Macaca fascicularis: one gene and its partner. The protein of the gene in region 1 purifies or fractionates together with the protein of each later gene. This does not show direct contact. Links are inferred from orthologs where the notes say so. Each region holds a gene or a part of one and is shown in the gene's direction. Other genes may lie near its edges. The genes, in order: PRPF40A and RBM25.

The links.
Region 2: the proteins of PRPF40A (region 1) and RBM25 purify together in Homo sapiens (affinity purification with mass spectrometry; 5 studies listed by BioGRID and IntAct, with this or other methods). This does not show direct contact. The link is inferred for Macaca fascicularis from reciprocal best matches to the Homo sapiens genes PRPF40A and RBM25.

Annotation. Positions count from the first base shown.
Region 1 is NC_088386.1:48,223,561-48,228,150, reverse strand, and holds the start of PRPF40A (pre-mRNA-processing factor 40 homolog A), read left to right. Parts: upstream 1-1,658; 5' UTR 1,659-1,841; coding exon 1,842-2,117; coding exon of another isoform or gene 2,118-2,243; intron 2,244-3,340; coding exon 3,341-3,472; intron 3,473-4,590. Other genes in the region: ARL6IP6 (ADP-ribosylation factor-like protein 6-interacting protein 6), read right to left, coding at 448-847.
Region 2 is NC_088381.1:140,948,329-140,952,645, forward strand, and holds the start of RBM25 (RNA-binding protein 25), read left to right. Parts: upstream 1-1,351; 5' UTR 1,352-1,526; intron 1,527-4,317. UniProt on the Homo sapiens protein: RNA-binding protein that acts as a regulator of alternative pre-mRNA splicing. Involved in apoptotic cell death through the regulation of the apoptotic factor BCL2L1 isoform expression.

The DNA of each region.
Region 1 (4,590 bases):
TATGCGATAAAAATCTTTGTCCCTCAGGATTCTGTGTAGAGGAATTGGTGGACAGCACATCTTTATTTGTGGATGAAGGCCACTGAACATAGATAGCCTATTTTAATTATATGCACTTTTCACAGTCTCCTTTTAATGGTGGGTGTTTCGCCTTTTGTTTAATCTTGACAGTATTTCATCCCCCGTGTTTAAGGACTTGAAGATATTTCTTCAAGAGTACCCATTTAATCAAAAGATCTTTTTTAAAAATGGGTCTCCTGATCACGGATCAGGACGCTCCACTTACAAAAGGGCTGGAAAGCAAAGTAAGATGCAAATGAGGACTCTGGGTGAAAGCAGCTGCCACCCTGCGGGCTTAGGCAGCACGAAGGGAGAAGGGTGGTGGCAAGAGCCACACCCTGACTCAACTTTACTCTGGACAGACTTTCAAGGCCTCGGCTTCAATACCTTTCACGATCAAGTAGGCGATGGCGAGGAGGAAGGCGAGAAGGATGGCGAAGAGCAGCGAGCAGAGAATAGAAAGGACCTGGACCGGCCACCGCCGAGGCTGGGTTCTGCTGCCCGCGGCCGCGGGAAAGATACCATTGCGCTTATCTGGCAGGACAGGCGACCCGTCCCCGTCCGGCGGGAGCAGCGAGCCCTTTCTGGGCTCTGACCACGCCCCAGCCGAGAACTCCGCCCGCAGGTCGCGGGCCACTTGGTCGCATCCCTCCTCCTCGTCGACTTCGCCTTCACCCCAACTGTCCCCCTGAGTAAAGGAGGAATATGTTGGCCCAGCCACAGGGCCCGGGGTCCCGGGACGGCGGCGCCGCAGAGCCGACCGCCACCCGCTCTCCGCTAACGACATGGCGCGAAGCACAGCGAAACCCGCGGAGTATGAGCCTCTCCCACCTGCCCCGCCCCGGGTCCGCAACAGCCAATCCGCGGCCGTGGCCGCTACCACCATGCCTCAGAACCCAGGGGTAAACCACGGAGAGCAAGGTTGGGCGGCGGGTTGCAAAGGAAGTCGTAGGGCCTGAGGAGAGGTGGGATGCGCTTGGACCAGAGCTCGACCCCAGGGCTGTAGCCGGAAGGGGGAGCAGGAAAGCGCGCAGCGAGAAGTGGGCGGAGGCCGAAGGCGGCCGAGTATCCACTCCCTGCGGCGCTTCATCCCTGCCGGAGACCTCCGCCACTGCCGCGTCACCAACGGGAGCGCGAGACCCGACAGCCCCAAAGCCGCATCTTTTCGACGCCGGGTCCTAGCGCCCGCCCGCGCCTTCGACACATTCACGAACCTATTTGCCTTCTCCCTTCTTCCCCTCTACGCTCACACTCTTCTCCAGGTTCCCCTATTAAGAAAGGGCAGCTCTCTGCCTGGTACTCTCGCGGTGCCTTCACTGCTCACCCCATCTCCCTTTAGTGTGGTTCTCCCCACCCGTACCACAACTTCCCTCACGCTACTCGACACGCCTCCTTCCTCCTCCACCCAGGCGCGCGCTCTCCACCTGGTGCGTACCGAGCTCGCACCCTCTCCTCGGAACCCCTCCTTTCGCCTTCCCCGCCCCCTCCCCTCCGCCTCGAGCACTGCGCGCGCGCATTCGGTCCCAGCCACCGCTAACACTAGAGGCTGCTTACCCCCGCCCCCTCCACCCTACCCCTGGCGGCCTCAGGTTTGTGGGGCGTACGTAACTCGGGCGGGGAGGGGGAAGGTGGCAGACCCCACTGCCCCACCCCCTACGGGGTGAGGCGGTCTAAGCTCGGGAAGCTGGGACACGGTTGTCTTCCCTTCCCCTGGGGAAGTTGGTAGAGTTTTCCCGACGGAGGACTCGGCGCAGAAACTTCCTCCGTCCTCCCCCCGCCCCATGCAGGCGACGCCGAGTGAGGCTGAGGCTGCGGGCGAATCGCCGCAGAGTTGCGTGTCGGCCGCGCATTCTGATTGGACAGCGGGGAAGCCCGTCAGCCTGTTGGCCTCGCTGATCCCGCCCCGTAGCGCAGGGCAGCCTTTAACCTTTAGCCCCAGTGGGCGCCAGCCACTCAGATCGCTTCTTGTTGGTATGTGTAGCGGCAGTGGCCGCCGGCGGAGCAGTCTGAGCCCGACGATGAGGCCGGGGACGGGAGCTGAACGTGGAGGCCTCATGGTGAGTGAAATGGAGAGCCATCCTCCCTCGCAGGGTCCTGGGGACGGGGAGCGGAGATTGTCCGGCTCAAGCCTCTGCTCCGGCTCTTGGGTCTCTGCTGACGGCTTCCTGAGGAGACGGCCCTCGGTAAGGGATCAGTGGGGCAGGGGGAAGGCGGCACAATGAAAAACGGAGTGAGAGAAACAGGAAGCTTTCTCCGAAAGGAGAAGAAGATAAGAGTGGACGAAGGAAGAACTCGAGATGGTGGGATATGTTGTGAGGGAGAGAAGTGGAGGGTGGGGATGCACAAAGAAGGATGTGAGACCCTGGAAGTACCCCGTAGGCTTGGCCTAGACAGATGCGTGGTGAAGGTGCTGGCTCTTGGGCGGGGTGAGCGTCTTGGAGCTTTAGGCCCGATTTAGCTGGAAGGGGGAGGGAGGGGCTTGATTCTGTAAGACTTTAACAGCGGCTGCCAAAATTTGTTTTCATTACTTGTGGGGTCGTCTGCATGGGGAACTGTTAGGACAATTGACAGGAGATAATTAGCTGGTTTTAATTTAAAACATGGAACAATGGACTCATCGGTAAAGAAAGTAGTTGTCTTTTTAAATTGCGTTGAAAGGGATGAATTAGTTGTTTGCATTTAGTGTCCGTGAGTAACAGAACCTCAGTCTTTAAAAATGTATTTTTGACAGAAGGAATTTTACCTGTCTTAAAGGTTATGTTAGGAAATAAGTTTGTTAGGAGTGAATTGTCCCTGGGTGGCACTACTGTTTGTGTTTTATAAGACTGACTTTCACCTGAGTTAATATGATAGAGCATTTTAAAGTTTAAAATCAGTAGTGTTATAAAATAACAATAGCTGGCTATTTTTTATATTTGCATGAAATAGAAGAATTGTTGTTTTCACTGTAACAGTTTTAAGATTAGTATTCAATATGTATCCTTCAAGCTTAGCAAGCCAGTTAGTAGCTGATTAAGTCAATGCTTAAAAAAAAGAGAAAACCTATGATCCAGCTGTCCAGTAATCATCTTAACTTTTCCCGTTTTGTTGCGGAATTTGCAAGCTCGTTTTAAATACTAGCAGAATGCATTTTGTTTAAAACAAGGTATAGATTAATCCAGTGACATTATTATGCATAAGCTTAATATTAGGTTGCTTCAGATAACTGATTTGTTGAAATGAGATTTTTGAGAAGCGTTTAGTATTATTTGCTCATTTAAAAACGTTCGCTGTTTTTCAGATGGGGCACCCTGGCATGCATTATGCCCCAATGGGAATGCACCCTATGGGTCAGAGAGCGAATATGCCTCCTGTACCTCATGGAATGATGCCACAGATGATGCCCCCTATGGGAGGGCCACCAATGGGACAAGTAAGAATGCTTTTATTTTATTTTGCATTTATTTATTTGTTTTTGCCTCAGGTATTCTGTCAAGATTTCAAAATCTAGGTCAATAGTTATAGCTGTTTAAGGATTAGTTTATGCCCGAATAATTTTAAATAAGCCAAATGTTGAATCATGACTGTAATGGAAATTTGAATGTAATGAAAAAGTCTCCTGAGAAATTTACTGATTACCTCAAAACTAAGAATTTTTTTTTTATTATTACTTAAAAGTAAAGTGTGCGTCCAGGCTTTTATTTTTAATAATTATTTTTTCAACCATGCCAATTGAAGTTAATGGTCTAAAAGTAAATATTATCTGATACAGCAACATAACTGATTTTGGTAGACCATGTAAATAAATAGAATCTGAAAATAGCAATTGTTTTGGTTTAGAGCGAATTTTATTCCTGAAATATCTTCCTCTGTGTGTGTTGGAGGAGAGTGAGGGAGGGTGGGGGGTTTGTGCTCTATAATTCTGATTCTTCATAGGACAGTGCCAGTAGGTACTTCATTTTCCACTTACACTATTTTTTTTTAATGCTTATTGCTTCTACACTCCTGCTTATGAGCTGTCCCTTCCATCTCTAGCATAAATTGTAAATGGACATTTTGTAGAAGTGATTTGGATCAAAAGGTTTTAATGCTGATTCAGTGATTTCGGTAGAACTGAGTTTCTAGAGAAGCATCTAAGAAAGGTAACAGGTTCAGTTACCATGAGTAATTTTGTGCTCCATGTTAAGTTCTATATAGATCTTTAGGTGGCTGGGTTATTTCCATTTGAGTATTTCCATAAATCATCAAAAATTTAGGCTAACAAAATATTTTGGAAGCCAATTTCATGTGATCTTTTGCTAATTAGTACTGTTTGATAATTGTTTAAGCTTTCATGGTTAAAGTTATTGGTGAAATTGCAGTGGGAAAAGGAGCTTGCTATGTGTCTGTCTCTTTTTACTTAACCTTAAGAGTAGAAGGGCTTAATGTCAAGTGATTTTCCTCTTTTTTTTTTAATTTGGAATGTTGCCCTTAATTTTGTTTAAAAAAAAAAAAAAAAACCTTTATTCAAAGACACCAGCCCCAAAAGATTCTGCTTGCAGGAGTTCTTTA
Region 2 (4,317 bases), on another chromosome or scaffold:
GAGGCAGAGTCTTGCTGTTGCCCAGGCTGGAGTGCAGGATGCCATCTCGGCTAACTGCAACTTCCGCCTCCCGGGTTCAAGCGATTCTCCTGCCTCAGCTTCCCAAGTAGCTGGGATTACAGGGGCCTGCCACCACCTGCTTATATTTGTATTTTCAGTAGAGACAGGGTTTCGCCATGTTGGCCAGGCTGGCCTCGAACACCTAACCTCAGGTGATCCACCCGCCTCAGCCTCCCAAAGTGCTGGGATTACAGGCGTGAGCCACCGCGCCTGGCCGGTAATCATTTCCTTCACTCTACGAATATTTATTGAGCGCTTGCTATGTACCGGGACCTGTTATTGCACAAAACCGGCAATCCACGCATTGCTTACATTCACATTCTAGTGGGGGTAGTGACGGACCATAAAATCAGTTAGAAAAATGTATGTTATGATAGATGGTTATGAGTACTTTAGAGTAAAATTAAGTAGGAGAGGCAGGCAGGAAGTGTGTAGGTATGTTTCAATTTTATATTAGGATGGGCAGAGTTTGTCATCTATTTCACCTGGTTCACAGTTCCTGCAGGACAGGAACAAATGTCACTTCCATTTGCCTTCATACTTCCAGCACTTAGCACAGCACCAGGAACTCAGGGAGGCAATAACTTTATACTGAATACGTTTTATACCTTCCTAGAAGCAAGCAGTTGAGAAAGGCGTATAACTAGATATTGCCTATAAGGTCCACAATTGGAATAACGTAATCATTTATGATTGATTTTATTCATTTTCATTAACTTAAGCTAAGTTCTTTCAGCACGTTTAGATTACAGAACGAAAGCTGTGTTAACTAGTATTACAGGACTTTTCACGTTTTTCCAAACATCTTCTAGCCACCTCCGGCCCTACAACTACCCATAAGCTTTTGCTTTTCAAAAAACCTCCACAGCCTTTGCCAATTACTTCTAGATCTCGAGTAGTTGTTATAACAACACTTGGGGTTTAACACTGAGGTTGCGTATAGGGCCCAGTTATCAGTTCCTCGAACCTCCAGTAATCACAAAGCAAGGTTCTACACCCCGAAAAACTACGAAAAGTGAGAAATCCTCTAACACTCCTCGCGCCGTGCCCAGCCGGAATCATGACCTCAAGATGGCGTCCCGTAGTCGTAAGATTCAGTCGGCTCCAATCAAACATGGCAGTGTGGGTCATAATTTACAGTTCGGGCCTTTCTAGTAGCTGCTAGACGCTGCTTCTCTATGGTTATTCGTCTCGGCTTGGTGAGTCAGAGTCAACAGGGGAGACGATCTATATACGTTCTTCTCTATGGTTCCGCGCTCCACGCCCCCGGCGCAGTGCACGCCGGGCAAGAGGAAGACCTCCAGCAGCTCCCCGCGCAGCGCGGCTGTATTTGCGGCCTGTGAGAGTAGGCGCTTCGGACCCGTGTCTCCCTGGCGAGCGGCGGGCAGAAATCTTGAACAAGTGGAGCGCACTGGTCACCTGGATTCTAGAAGGCCGCGAAGGCAGTACCGTTTTTTCAGCGGCGGGTGAGTTTGTGTCCCTGAACGCGTGTGGAAACCGGGAGACCGGGTGCCTCAGCTGGTGGAGGAGGAAAAGCCGGGGTGGCTGCGAAAGCGCCAGGGTGGGGTAGAGATAAGGGGGGGGGCGCGGAGGCGGGGGTGGGGGAGGGGTCGGCACGAGGCTTGGTTTCTCCTCTTCTGTAAGGCCTGGAAGACCTGTGGGCCCAGCTGGAGCCCGTGGAGGCCAGACCTATGACTTGAGCTTTCCGTCTTGCATTGTCGCCCGCTTTCCCTTTCCCTTCCACGTTCCGCCGCGCAGTGAATCGTCTCTGCCCCTCCTGGGCTCCACGTTAGACCCAAAACGATCGGTCTGCCCCTGGGGAGCCCTTCCCTGAGCCCCCTTGCTTACGGGAGCCCCACAGTAGGTTTTCGGGCCTGGGGCACTGGCCCCAGCAGTTGCCTTGATGTTAGCCTCCACCCACCCTTTTTAGCGAGGTGCTGGCCACCAACGGATATCTTTCCCTTCCTCTTTGGCCATCTAGAGCCCGCCACCAAGCGAACTGGGCCCCACCCCCTTGGAATTGAGCTAATACCTACCTTTTTAGCACTCCTGGCTTGCTTAAGATGGTCATGAATTTTGCCATCCTGCCTCCTTTGAGCATTGGAGGGTGCAGTAAACTGTATATCGCCATTCATTCTAGGCGATTACTAAGCTCCACGTTAAAATGTTACTTTCTCATTTTTCTTTGGTCGTCAATCATGCTTTTAAATACAGTTTTCCGGAATAGACGTAGGACTGTGAAGATTTTTCGGAAGTTATGTAATATGGATTTGTATTGCCATGGAAATGCCATTTTGATACTGGGCAGAGTGGAGCCAAGAGAAGGGAAGAGATTGGACCTCTGTTGCACCCTACTGCTGTATTAGTGTGAAGTATTGTGTATTAGGCCGTGGGCAGTAATGTATAAACAATTTTTGTATTGTCTTTGGAGCTTTTAATTTTTTTAAAGGCCGTTTCCAAAAACGTTCAGAGGACTTTAAAGGGATTAAATTGGTCGTAAGTTATTCATGATTCACGTGAATCTTACACTATTCTAATTCATTTAACTTAAAGCCTTGGTTTTTCTTTTTTTTCTTTTTAAGCTTTGGTTTTTGTTCCTCTGTAAAATGAATTGATAGTAATATCTATACGTTATTGGGGTTGGAGATTGAGAAAAACGTTATGTAAAATCCTTCGTGCGATATCCAGGTAACACATAGTAAGCATTTAAATCTATATTGACATAATTTTTTATTTAAGAATTTTCAATAAAATGTAAGAGTCCAACCCTGATTCTTGAATTTTTGTTTGTTTGTTTGTTTGTTTGTTTTTTGAGACAGAGTCTTGCTATGTTGCCCAGGCTGGAGTGCAGTGGCGCGATCTCGGCTCACTGCAACCTCCGCCTCGCGGGTTCAAGCGATTCTCCTGCCTCAGCCTCCTGAGTAACTGGGACTACAGGCGCGCGCCCCGACGCCTGGCTAATTTTTGTATTTTTAATAGAGACTGAGGTTTCACTATGTTGGCCAGGATGGTCTCGATTTCCTGACCTCGTGATCCGCCCGCCTTGGCCTTCCAAAGTGCTGGGATTACAGGCGCGAACCACCGTGCTTGGCCTTCTGAATGTATTTTTAAAGTAAAACTAGTCCATGTTAACATTGGCTAACTATTTCAGACCTAACAGGAATTTGGAATTTTCAAGTTATGTTTTTGTCCACAGACAAATTAACAGTTTAGTTTTCTTATTTACACATGATTTAGTGAAAAATTAAATTATTTTATAGCTTTGGAAGCAAAGGAATCATATATGAATCTTTTTTTTTTTTTTTTTTTTTTTTTTTTTTGAGACGGAGTCTCGCTGTGTCGCCCAGGCTGGAGTGCAGTGGCGCGATCTCGGCTCACTGCAAGCTCCGCCTCCTGGGTTTACGCCATTCTCCTGCCTCAGCCTCCTGAGTAGCTGGGACTACAGGCGCCCGCCACCGCGCCCGGCTAATTTTTTGTATTTTTAGTAGAGACGGGGTTTCACCGTGGTCTCGATCTCCTGACCTTGTGATCCGCCCGCCTCGGCCTCCCAAAGTGCTGGGATTACAGGCGTGAGCCACCGCGCCCGGCCTCATATATGCATCTTAACATCTTGCTTTAGAGATTTCTTGATTGACTTTTCAAACACTACCACTGCCGTTCACAAAAGGGATTTTTGATTCTTCTTAAATAGCTTTTCTACCTTTTTTTGAAATTTGAAAGTTGTTGAAACTAAAGGAAGAACAAAATTCCACTACCCAGAATTATTGGTATTGGCTTTTAACTTTTTATATAGACATAATTTCAAATTTACAAAAAAAAGTTGCAAGAATAGTACAAAAGAAATCTCAGATATCTTTCACCAGATTCCTCAAATGTTAACATTTTGCCAATTTGCTTTATCCTTCTCTTCTCTTCATAGGTTTCTTCTGAAATGTTTTGCTAGTAAGTTGCAGATGTGATGCCCCCTAACCCATAAATACTTAAGTGTATTTCCTAAAAATTAGGACTAGTCTTATGTAACAACAGTACAACAATCAAAATAAGGAAACTAACATTGATAAAATACCTAATCTACAGTTCTTAGATTTTGCCGATTTTTCTGAGTTGGTATACTTTTTTTTTTTTTTTTTTCTTGAGACGAAGTCTTGCTCTGTTGCCCAGGCTGGAGCGCAGTGGCGCCATCTCCACTCTCACTGCAAGCTCCGCCTCCCAGGTTCACGCCATTCTCCTGCCTCAGCCTCCCGTGTAGCTGGGACT